Macaca mulatta: one gene and its partners. The protein of the gene in region 2 purifies or fractionates together with the protein of the main gene of each other region. This does not show direct contact. Links are inferred from orthologs where the notes say so. Each region holds a gene or a part of one and is shown on either strand. Other genes may lie near its edges.

Evidence for each region. Proteins that work in one complex are often made in the same cells at the same time.
Region 1: the proteins of ASF1A (region 2) and CABIN1 purify together in Homo sapiens (affinity purification with mass spectrometry; 4 studies listed by BioGRID and IntAct, counting the BioPlex papers as one, with this or other methods). This does not show direct contact. The link is inferred for Macaca mulatta from reciprocal best matches to the Homo sapiens genes ASF1A and CABIN1.
Region 3: the proteins of ASF1A (region 2) and UBN2 purify together in Homo sapiens (affinity purification with mass spectrometry; 3 studies listed by BioGRID and IntAct, counting the BioPlex papers as one, with this or other methods). This does not show direct contact. The link is inferred for Macaca mulatta from reciprocal best matches to the Homo sapiens genes ASF1A and UBN2.

Annotation. Positions count from the first base shown.
Region 1 is NC_133415.1:28,349,091-28,352,590, reverse strand, and holds part of CABIN1 (calcineurin-binding protein cabin-1), read right to left. Parts: coding exon 3,237-3,500; intron 2,104-3,236; coding exon 2,029-2,103; intron 1-2,028. UniProt on the Homo sapiens protein: May be required for replication-independent chromatin assembly. May serve as a negative regulator of T-cell receptor (TCR) signaling via inhibition of calcineurin. Inhibition of activated calcineurin is dependent on both PKC and calcium signals.
Region 2 is NC_133409.1:23,859,256-23,863,317, forward strand, and holds the start of ASF1A (histone chaperone ASF1A), read left to right. Parts: upstream 1-1,262; 5' UTR 1,263-1,602; coding exon 1,603-1,711; intron 1,712-4,062. UniProt on the Homo sapiens protein: Histone chaperone that facilitates histone deposition and histone exchange and removal during nucleosome assembly and disassembly.
Region 3 is NC_133408.1:179,124,622-179,128,121, reverse strand, and holds part of UBN2 (ubinuclein-2), read right to left. Parts: intron 3,313-3,500; coding exon 1,762-3,312; intron 1-1,761.

The DNA of each region.
Region 1 (3,500 bases), on a different chromosome or scaffold from region 2:
GGTCATTAGGGCCTCCTCCCCACCACTCTCCTCCACACCCTGGGAGGGGACTGCTGGGGCCTGGCCTGGCGTCGCCCAGCAGCAGGTAACCTGAAAGGTAAGGACCTGGGTCCCCTTGCTCTGGCCACCCCCATAACCCAGGCTGTATCTTCCAAGGTCTCTGACGGAAACTTCTGCCCACCCAGCCCTCAGGGGCCCTGATATGCATGTCCTTGGCAAAATGGGGTCTGGCCCTGCCCTGACTCCTGCCAGCTCAGCACCCCTTTCTTCTCACACTATGGTGTGGGGTTGTGGGGGGGTTTCCTGTGTGGATCTATTTTTTAAGGACATCAAAAGCAGAAACAGCTCTCCTGTCTCCTGAGTGGTCACCACTCACATGTCCACCTGCTTCACCTGGGCCAGTGGAGGAGGCACGGCACCCTGGTGGACCTGGGCCTGGGCCCAGCACTGGGGCCCAGGCAGCTGTGCTATGCACTCTGCCCAGCTGGACAATGAAATGGTGGGGACTGCTGGGGTTTGGGGCACTCCCTGCCAAGGACTCTGGCCCTTAGCTGGGGACCAGGCCCACCTACTCCCCACAGCATGCCCTGTCTGGCCCACAGCCTGCTTGGTCAAAGCTGAACCTCCCAGGCTTCCGCTGACGTAACAGCCCAGGCAGGTGGTGGGGGCCTGAGGCCCCATTCCACTGAGAGGAAGCCTGTCTGGACCCAAAAGGCAGCTACCAACCCTCTGCTAGGGGACCTGGAACAAAGGGACCTGGGGTGATGCTACCCGGGGCATCGGGCCACCCCTGGGGACAAGAGGCTGCACCTACTCAAATGGCATGCCACCAAACCTCTGGCTTGGAGGCTTATGTTTTAGACAGAGCACACCTGCTCTCTCTGCCTGCCATGTCTGCCCCTCCCTGCCTCATCCTCTCACTGAGATCTGATCCCATCCCTCCCACTTCTTCGGTCGTGGAGACCCCACCCCAACTCATAGCCAGACCCTGCCCACTGGCTTCAAGCTGGACTTCTCCCATGGAGACTTCTCTCCTCCAGACCCAGCACCTTACCTGCTCCTGCTCAAGCCCTTTCCAGCCTCATCACTTCTCAAAAATAGCCCTGGCCCCTGGGTTCCCATATCCATCAGGCCCCCATCCTCACTGCCCTGGCATTGCTGACCAGCTGGCCCCTGGGAACACTCTCCTTCCTGGCTACTTCCCTGTCCTGCCCAAGTCTCTTCTCTGTGCCTGTGACCTGGCCAAGGTCCTTGGCCCTGCCTGTGTCCTCTTCTGGCCTCTGATGGCTTCAGGGGCACTTACCCCAGGTCTCTGGCCTGGACTGCCCCTCCAGGTGGGGGCCCCTGACCTTCCTGACCACTTGGCCTCTCTCTCTTAAAAGAGTCTCAGACTCAACACAAACCCAATCTCAACCCTGGCTTGGGGTCCTCCCAGGAGGGGCCTCCCCCACTCCCTACTCTCTGCCATATCTTGGACCCTGCCCCAGCCCTGGCCTGGCCCCTGAACCAACCCCTTCTTCCCCACTTAGGAGCGTGGCTGCCTTGCTTTCTCCCTGCTTAATAAACTCCAGGACTCCTGCCTACCCTCTCTTAGGACACCTTGCTCCCTACATGCCCTCCCCTCATGGAGGGGGGGGTCCCTGTGTAGGCTGCATCTCCACCTTTACCCAGCCACCTGGCTCCTAACCAGCCTGGCTCTAACATTGTTTCTTCTACTACTGTCCCAGAAGGAATGACCTTCCCAGGTGAGGTCAGCTGGCTAGGGGTCATCCTCCTTGATAGAGAAAAGGTGGCTGAGGTGAGGAGACCCCTCGGCATGTCTGAACTGGGGTCTAGGCCCTGTCAAGTTCCCGCCCACCATGGCCATGGGCTGGAGGCTCAGCTGACCCCTGCTCATCTCCCCTTGGCCCAAGCTGACCACCACAATAACAGTCCCAAAAGTGGAACTATTTCTCAGCCTGCATCCTAGGGCCTTGACATGGAGCAGGCTCCGCAAGATGAGGCTGGCACAGGCTAAATTGGGCTTACCTGTCTCTGGGCGGCAGCCCCAAGATGGACCTGGCAGAACTTCACAGCCTGCTCCAGCGCAGCCTCCTCATCCACCTTAACAGCGAGATGCCGGAGGTCAGGGGGCCCAGGCCATTGTGGTGAGCCTCCCCCAGCCCTGTCTGTGTATGTAGCACGGACCAGCCTAGGTAGGGGGCATGCCCTGTGGCTCGGGTGCCCCCCACCACCCCAGACTCCACTGAAGAGCCAGTTGTCCCCACTGCTGTCCACACCCGGACCCCTACCTCCCAGCTCTTCATGGGTAGCAGGGGCAGGTGCCCATCCATCTTCCAGGTGGGGGTGCCTGTTCAGGTGCCACAGCACCAGGTACTGGTGCCAGGACTAGACCCAGCCGTTCCTCTGAGCCCATCTGGCTATACCAAGCTCATTTCTATGGCTGAGTTACTTACATCCTCACAAGCTGAAGCTGGCAGGCAGACTCAGGGCTCCAACCAAGCCTTCAAATTCAGCTGAGGCTCAGCTGCTAGGGGATGAGGGGAGTCTTCTGAGCTAAAACCTGCCCCGTAAGTGGGCAGGATAGAGGGCCATGATTAGAGTGGGAGAGGCCTTTTAGAATCCCAGGCCTGATGGAGATCGCCCCATGCTGTGTCAAGTGTGTCTGGAGATTCAGTGCCCAAGGTCCATATGATATGGGGCAGTTGGGGCTGGGGTGCATTGCAAACTGACATGATTAGAGGGAATACTGTATGTCAGGGATGGTCATCCCATCTGAGCCAGTCACTAAAGTTTTGGAGATTCTTCCTATGGGAATAATTTTAAACGGAGAAAAAGGAAAGTGCTTGATATATTAAAATAAAATGTTTTAAAAAAGAAGGCAAAATGAGAAGGGGATCTCTGGTCACTGCAGCCATCTTTAGATGACAGCCACAGAAGTCTTGAAGGAAATGCCCTAAGATGCGCCCAGAGGCCCGTAACAGCGGTGGGAGCAGCGGTCCAGACTCCCTGCGCTGGTTGTGATAAGGTTTCTGAGATAGGCTCTCACTTCCTTCCAGGCTGAATATCAACTTTTTAAAGCTCATTGCAGAATGTAAACAGTGGGGAATGGGGTGGGAAGAACACCTAAAACCCAGCTCAAGGGCAGGCCCGGGAGACCCTCCTTGAGAATAGAAAGGCAAGAGTGGGGATGCTACCAGCACACAAGTGCCCCCAGGCCTCTGCCCGCCGCCCACCTGCTTGATGAGCATGTAGGTCTCCGACATGATCCTCTCCACACGGCCAAGGTCGTAGGCCACACCCTTCTGGCCCTGCTGCCACACACGGTAGGCATCCAGTAGAAGTGTCTTGCCTGACTCCGTGTCCTCCAGGAGCTTCCTCTTGCGGCTGAGCCGGGGGAGCGGCTCCTCGGGGTGGCCCCCTGCCCTGGTCCCTATGGTGGTGGCAGGGGCGGGGGCTGGCTGGGCTGGGGTGAGCGGGGTGGGCTGCTGCCGGGCACT
Region 2 (4,062 bases):
GTAGGAGGGGCTGACATTAGCTGTCTCACATTAACTTTCAAAAGACCATCAGATGAAAACGTTTCATCAAAAGCCACCTACTTAAGTATGAACAATGCCCAAAGAATGACAAATCAACATTCTGGGCACTATCCTAAGAGAAAACTCTTCCAGAGCAGATACTTCAGAATTAATTTTCTCTCTGAATTTGGCCAAGTTTGGTGGTTTCATTCACAACATTTAAGGAAAAAAGTGACGGTTTATGGATAGCAGGTAATAAAAACAAATCTTTATACCACTTACTAGTAATAGAAACGGTTTAGGCTCACAAATGTGTTAAAGCTTTCTCTTTCCCCGCAATGGTAGTCAAACAGCATAAACGAATCAACATTTCCTCAGTTCAGATCTCAACTGGTTACAGGCAAGCAAGGGCTCCTCAGAATTTGCTTTACTAATGGTTTAGGTCAGAAATTTTTTTGAAGATCAAATGTCTTGCTATGTCTTCGTGTTCTTTTCCCCATCTCTATTATGTGTGTTGCCCTGTTGGTCTCCTGACACTTCCATTTTCTCCTTTTATGTTCCTGCTATGCTCTCCCAATGGCAGTAACCTAGGGTATAACTGATCACACCTCTTGTGATTTTTTTCTTATTCTAGGACTTTCCAGATCTGGACTCCGAAGAAGACGCCCAGGTGTAAGCCCAAAGGTTACCTATTTAAATTTTCCAAGCACAGTGTGTGGAAAATCATTCCTCGCCCTTCATTTTGTGTTGCTTAACGGCGCTGTCGTGCCTAAACGTAGATACTGGCCAAGAGCTAGATTTCCAAAATGGCTTTGCTCCTTTCGAGCTGACATCGGTCTATAACATGCAATTTATTTCCCCTGCAGGCAATCTTTTTCTCTACTCCAACTACTACCCGATACACAGAAAGCTGAACCTAACCCAGTGTAAACACCGATTCTCATCTGCTAAATTCAGCAAGGCCGGCAAAGCTGTTGCAATGATGTAAAAAGAGCGTTAAAAAATTAAAAAAAAAAAAAAAAACACAAAAAACCACAAAAAAACAAAAAACGCCAAAACACCCACACGAAGCCAACCGGAGGGGCGGGCGTCGGCCGAATCGCGCCCTCCCGCCGCGGCCACGCCTCCCCGCCGCGGCCACGCCCCCGCCGCCCCTCTCCGCGCCGCCGCCGGCGGCCTCCGCGCGGGCCTCCCAGCCCTTATTCCACTCACTTTGTTCTCCGCCTTTGTCCTAATCCACACCAGCAGGTGGAGCCGCAGTTAAAGTTTCCGAGTCCATTCCGGGAGCGGGAGCCCATCTTGCTGGCTGCCGAGGCCCTCGCTGGAGGAGGAGGGTCAGAGCTCGGGTGCAGCCAATCGAGGGCAACGCTGCTACTTATCAGAGCAGAATGGGCTGTAGTTTAGTGAAATAGGAAAGCTGCAAAACACTGTGGAGTGCTCCCGTGTAAATAAAAAGAGGAAAAAAAAAGTTTCTCAAGTCGCCGCTGCACAACGTCGGGCCGGCGCTGGGGCGGGGGTCTGCGCTCTCCCGAGCGGCCGCGCGCTGGACTTTATTGTGCCGCAACCAGCCCCAGTTCCCATTGTTTGTGTTTTTTTCAAAATATGGCAAAGGTTCAGGTGAACAATGTAGTGGTGCTGGATAACCCTTCTCCTTTCTACAACCCGTTCCAGTTCGAGATCACCTTCGAGTGCATCGAGGACCTGTCTGAAGGTGAGTGCGGCGCCCGTGCGCCCGGGCTGTCAGTTGCGGGCTGCAGACGTTGAAAGTTTCCCGGGCCCGGCCTCGCGCTGGGCGGCTGTGTTCGGCGCCTGGCGGCCGCGGGCTGCTCTGCGGAGGGAAACTTCAAGTTGATGGTCGACGGCCGCCGAGGCGCGCGCGGCTTTCCGCCGCAGCCCAGGCGCCTGCCGGGCTCAACTTGCGAGGAACTTGTTTGAGCGGAGGAAGCCATGTTGTCAGCTTTGTCTGCGGGCGGGCAGCTCGGAGACCCGCACTCGCGCCCGCGGCGCCTCCTGGGGTCGCGCCGGGCTGGCTTAGCGCCGCCAACAGCTTCCGCGACCCTCCGGGCCCGGGCACGGAGGCTGGGAAGGGAGAGGCTGTGCGTGTGGTCGCGCCGGCGAGTTCGGAGCGGAGCCATCTTACCCCAGTCGAGAATTGGGCCAGCGACCCCGGCGCACGGCGCCTCTTCTTGCCCCTTCGCCCGCCTGCCCCCGGCGAAAGGGAGGCAGTAACTCTCGAGAGCTCACGGTGGAGTCGCCGCACTCTCCGGGCTGGCCATGCCTGGCCGCTTCGGGGAGGAGAGCGAGGCTGTCCTCGCGCTGATTTCTGGCTTCCTCGACCAACCAGCGGGGGAGGCGGGCGCAGGCTCGGCCCCTCCGCGCCGCGGGCTGGGCGCCGGCACTCCCCGGGGGCCGCGGGTCCTGTTCGGCCGGTCCTCTTCGGCCGGTGCCCGGGATGCGCCGGGATGCTGGCGCGCAGGCTCCCCAACCAACGTGGACTCCTTTCCCCTAATGACGAAAAGCTAATCTCAGGAAGAGAGAGAGAGCTGAGCTAGGAAGTTACATTTAACCTAAGAGCAGAAATAAGATACTTAAATAATTTCCAGGACTTAATCTCTGCCTTCTAAATAGTCTGAAAGAAGACTTTCTTCAAGAGCGTGTTGAAATGTAAAATAACTCCACATCCAGATGCAGAACACACCCTAAACATAAAACACAAACGTAGGCTAGGAAATTAAGGTAAACAACTCATGTCAGTCCAAGAATTCCTGGTATTTTTTCTACATATATTTTAAGGTCTTAAAAATACGTATTCTTAATATGTTTAGTAATAAATATTTAGAAAGCTAAAACAACAATTATCTTTGCTTTAATTATATTTTACTAAAGTAATTCAGTACTTCATTTGCCAGTTTTGAAGGGGAAATAGTTTAACTTCATCGATGAGGGGCATACTTCTTTGAACTAGAAGTGTATTTTTAAAATGCTCTGAAGATGATTTGGCTAATCGTGGCATGTAAAACTTTTCATTTTAAAAACTAGTTTTTAATCTCTAAAATGTATGTATCATATGTAAGGTTAATTTTAATTATAAAACAATATATATCATTGTAATAAACTTTTAGAAAGTTGTACAGGCATATATAAAGTTAACAGTTCTCTGTACTCAATGCCTTCCCCTATCTCCTTTAGGTAATCACAATTACTACTTTAACATGTGCCCCTCTGTGGGGTTTTTTTTTTTTTTTTTTTTTTTTTTGGTAAACCTATATAGAGTATAAATGCACATACATATATAGGGCAAATTTTGAAAGATGATTCATTTATTAAAATAATTTCAAATAGGCCATTGATAACACTTAGGGGTATTTTTCTTATTACTCTGAAGTCATCTGTATGATACTACTATTAATATAAGCATTGCAGCTACCAGGCCCATTTTTCACACCCAACAGTCAGTAATTTTTTTTTTTTTTTATTGCCAACTGCATATAAAAATAGACAAAAGAAAAACCATTGATCGGTCCATTCCAACTTACACCACAGTGTTTTTCAAGTATACCACCAGAAGTTCTTCAAATTACAGGTATTTCTCAAGTGATGCCTTCCATTTTAGGAGTCAGCTCTGAACAAAGAAGATAGATGACTCAGGATGTCGTTACAGGGCTTTTACATTGCATAGATGAAACCAGCCATTCATAAAGCCAAAACAGGTTCCATTTTTAACTGGGATCCATTCAGAACCCAGCTGAATCACATCAGGGTTTTACAGTACTGGTATCAAAAATATACTTATTTCCAATGGTATATTTCACTTCCTAGGCACCATTACTGAGCATTTATTTAGTATTTTAAAAAATATTTTAAGCTGAGTCATACTGAAGCTGCAAAGGAATCTTTCAAAAAGGTGCCATGCCTGTATACTCCACCTAGAGGCTATGTGGATTAAGGAAATTGAGTTTACTTAGCAAAGGCTTCTTATAGGTTCCATACTTTTATATTATAGTTCTTTTAAAAATTCTGTTCTTAAACTATAGAATTTTTTTTTTTTTTTAAATGAGACAG
Region 3 (3,500 bases), on a different chromosome or scaffold from region 2:
GGATCACCTGAGGTCAGGAGTTCAAGACCAGCCTGGCCAGCATGACAAAATACTGTCTCTATGCACGGTGGTGGGTGCCTATAATCCCAGCTACTCAGGAGGCTGAGGTAGGGAGAATTGCTTGAACCCGAGAGGTGGAGGTTGCAGTGCGCCGAGATCACACCATTGCACTCCAGCTTGGGCGACAGAGGAGACTGGGTCTCAAAAAATAACAATAAATAAATAAACATACAAAAATTAGCCAGGCATGGTGGCAGGTGCCTGTAATTCCAGCTACTTGGGAGCCTGAGGCAGGAGAATCTCTTGAACCCAAGAAGCGGAGGCTGCTGTGAGCCAAGATTGCGTCACTGCCCTCTAGCCTGTACAACAGAGTGAGACTCCGTCTCAGGGAAAAATTAAAAAAAAAAATAAATAAATAAATATAATAAAGGGTTCTCAAAAAACTTAGGATAAATGCATCAGAAACAGTAATCAGACACATAATACAACAAAATATTCTTGATCTAAAATAAATAACCAGGTCTGAGATGGAATGCTATTATGTTCTAGGTATACAACTAATGAAAACTAGGCAGAGAAAACACATTAATGATAAGGGAACAAAAGGAGAATGAGAAAAGTCTGAGAATGGTCTCAGACTTCTCCATAATCCTAAATACTAAGCAAGAGTCACTGGAAGAGTATTTACAAAATTTGAAGTGGAACAGTTAGTGCCCCAAGAAGGTTATGCCTACTCAAGTGTGACAGCACAGAAAGAAATTACCAGGGGCACATGAGCTAAGGTAAAATAGCATTCATGCTACCCTTTTTAAAATTTATTACTATTTTTTTTTTTGAGATGGAGTTTCGCTCTGTCACCCAGGCTAGAGTGCAATGGCGTGATATCATTCACTGCAACCTCTGCCTCCTGGGTTCAAGCGACTCTCCTGCCTCGGCCTCCCAAACAGCTGCGACTACAGGCATGCGTCACCATGCCTGGCTAATTTTTTTGTATTTTTAGTAGCCAGGGTTTCACCATGTTGGCCAGGTTGGTCTTGAACTCCTGACCTCAAGTGTTCCTCCTGCCTTGGCCTCCCAAAGTGCTGGGATTAGAGGCATGAGCCACCACGCCAGGCTACCCTTCTTAAAAAGATTGCTTGAGTGAGGCACTCAGCTAATTGAGAGATTAAGTTTAAACTAAAAATTCATGAATGGGAAAACTGTGGAATAAAAGGACAACTGACACTAATTTGACACAGAAAATTATATAGCACTATAAAATTAATGCAAAATAAAAATTTTGAGAAGATAAATGATTAAAAAATAACAGGAATGTAAAAATTTGATTTAAAAGTAAGAAAGCTGGCAGGAGAAAAACGGAAGGGAAGAGTTAAGTGAATGTTAAATTCCTAAGTTACTACTTTGTTCTGAATTTTGATAAGAAAGTTTGAAATATGCATTTTAGTTGTGCTTTTTCAAATAATTTTAAAGTTGATTTAGTGATGGTTGCTTGTAATGAAGACATCGTTCTGTCGGACAGCTGAATGCTGGTGCACCTTTGTTACTTTGTTTAAAAAAAAAATCCACATCCCAACAAACACCTCATCTACAAGTGTGCCTACCACTATGATGTCAGCATCAGGAATATTCCATGGCCACAGGCTGTAATAAGCCTATTGAGAACAATCCACGTATCATAAAAAGCTTATTAAAGTTACCTACAAGAAAGATGACACTATGCAATCTTACAGTTTATCACATGGATGTACAGAACATACATACCTGCACACTGGCTGTTACCACTGAAGACCCTGAGGCAGTGGATGGTCTATGTGGAGTAGACAATGGTTTGGTAGCACCCTGTGTTCCACTTCCTGTTCCCCCAGATAGACTAGTCCTATTAGCTCCGCTTGAGTTAAGGTTGCTACCTCTGCTGGCAGGTACATTCATTGCAATTCCACTCAAGCTATTCTTCCCAACAGTTCCAGTGGATGATGAGTTTGTTAGCTTTGAGGGGGCCTGAAGATTTTTTGTAGATGGAAGGCCTGAAGTGCGATTAGAGGGCAATAAATTCAAGGTGGGAGACTGTCTGCTGATGTTCATTCCACTGGGCTGTTTATGGACCGGGTTGTTAGTGCTGGAGTGGCTACTCTGGGCTACTAGTGCATTTGGACTGGAACTACTTGGGGATACAGTAGGCTTGGGAGTCGGGTTGGATTTAGAAATAAGTTTAGTTGATACTGAAGGCTTAGCTGACAGAGAGGGCTTGGGTGAGGCAGAAGGCTTAGGCGAGGGCAGGGGTTTAGGAGATGTGGCAGGCTTGGGAGATGCGGCAAGTTTTGGGGAGGCAGCCATCGAGAAGGGAGATTTGAAACCCTGCGTGGAGATCTGTGACACCATAGCCTTGGCTAAATAGTTACTGGAGGTAGTGGTGCTAGGTACTGTCCTAGAAACCAGGGGGTGGGACCCTTGAGAACCATTTCCAGGTGAGGGGGTAGATAAAGGAAGGCGGTACATAAGTGGCTTATCTGAAGTCTTAATAAGCGAGGAGGGACAGGAGAGTTGGGGATTATTACTTAACTTCACCACAGGGTTGGTCTGGGATTTACTGATGGTGGCCTGTAATGGAGACACATAGTTCTGCTGGACAGCTGAATGCTGGTGCACCTTTGTTACTTGTGTTAATGAAGAAGCATCTTGGGCCTCGGATGTTCCCAGAGCATGAGAAGAGGCAGCAATTTGGGCTTGGGAAGAAGAGGAGACGTGGGTCTGTGAAGAGGAAGAAGTGTGAATCTGGCTTGACCTCTGAAGTCCTTGTTGAAGTAGCCTGGCTGGCAAAGGTTCTAAAGAAACTTTAGGGTTCTGAATGGAAGAACCAGCAATAAGGCCTGAAGAGATGCCAGTATGAGCTAAATCCTGGGGTTTCTTTGGTACTGGCCCTGTGTGACCAGCAATAAGACTTGAAGAATGTGTAGGCTGAGTAGAATCTAGTTTTTTGGGAGTAGCCAGTGGCAGCTTACTCATGATACTAGCTAATTTTTCTTCTCTCAGTCCTGGACGAGGCTTTGTGGTTGGCATGCTTATCCTTGAGCCAACAGGAGGGCCCTTGTTCCCACTGTTGATAACCGCTAAAGCTTCAGAAACAAGATCCAGTGAAGGTGAATGGAAAGAAAGGTCTTCATCTAGTGAGTCGTCGAGGCAGATGGTTTCTTGGGCTGGTGCAGAGCTAGAGCTGGCTGCAGCAACGGCAGTTGTGCTGGAGCTCGTTGGAGGACCGCTAACCGAAGCCACCAGGGATGCCGGAGTTTTCTGGTCCTTTTTTGGACTATACTCCTAATGTAAAGCATCATATGAAAAAAATAGAAATGGTGAATAAAAAATTACAAAGTTAATTTTAAATAACTAAGAGATTTTCATGACAATTAAAATTGTTTTTCTACTGGAAATGTTTAGGGACTATCAAAACAAAAATAATTTTTGAGATGACAGAGCTCCTGACTGAGCTGTCCTCACAAGACAAA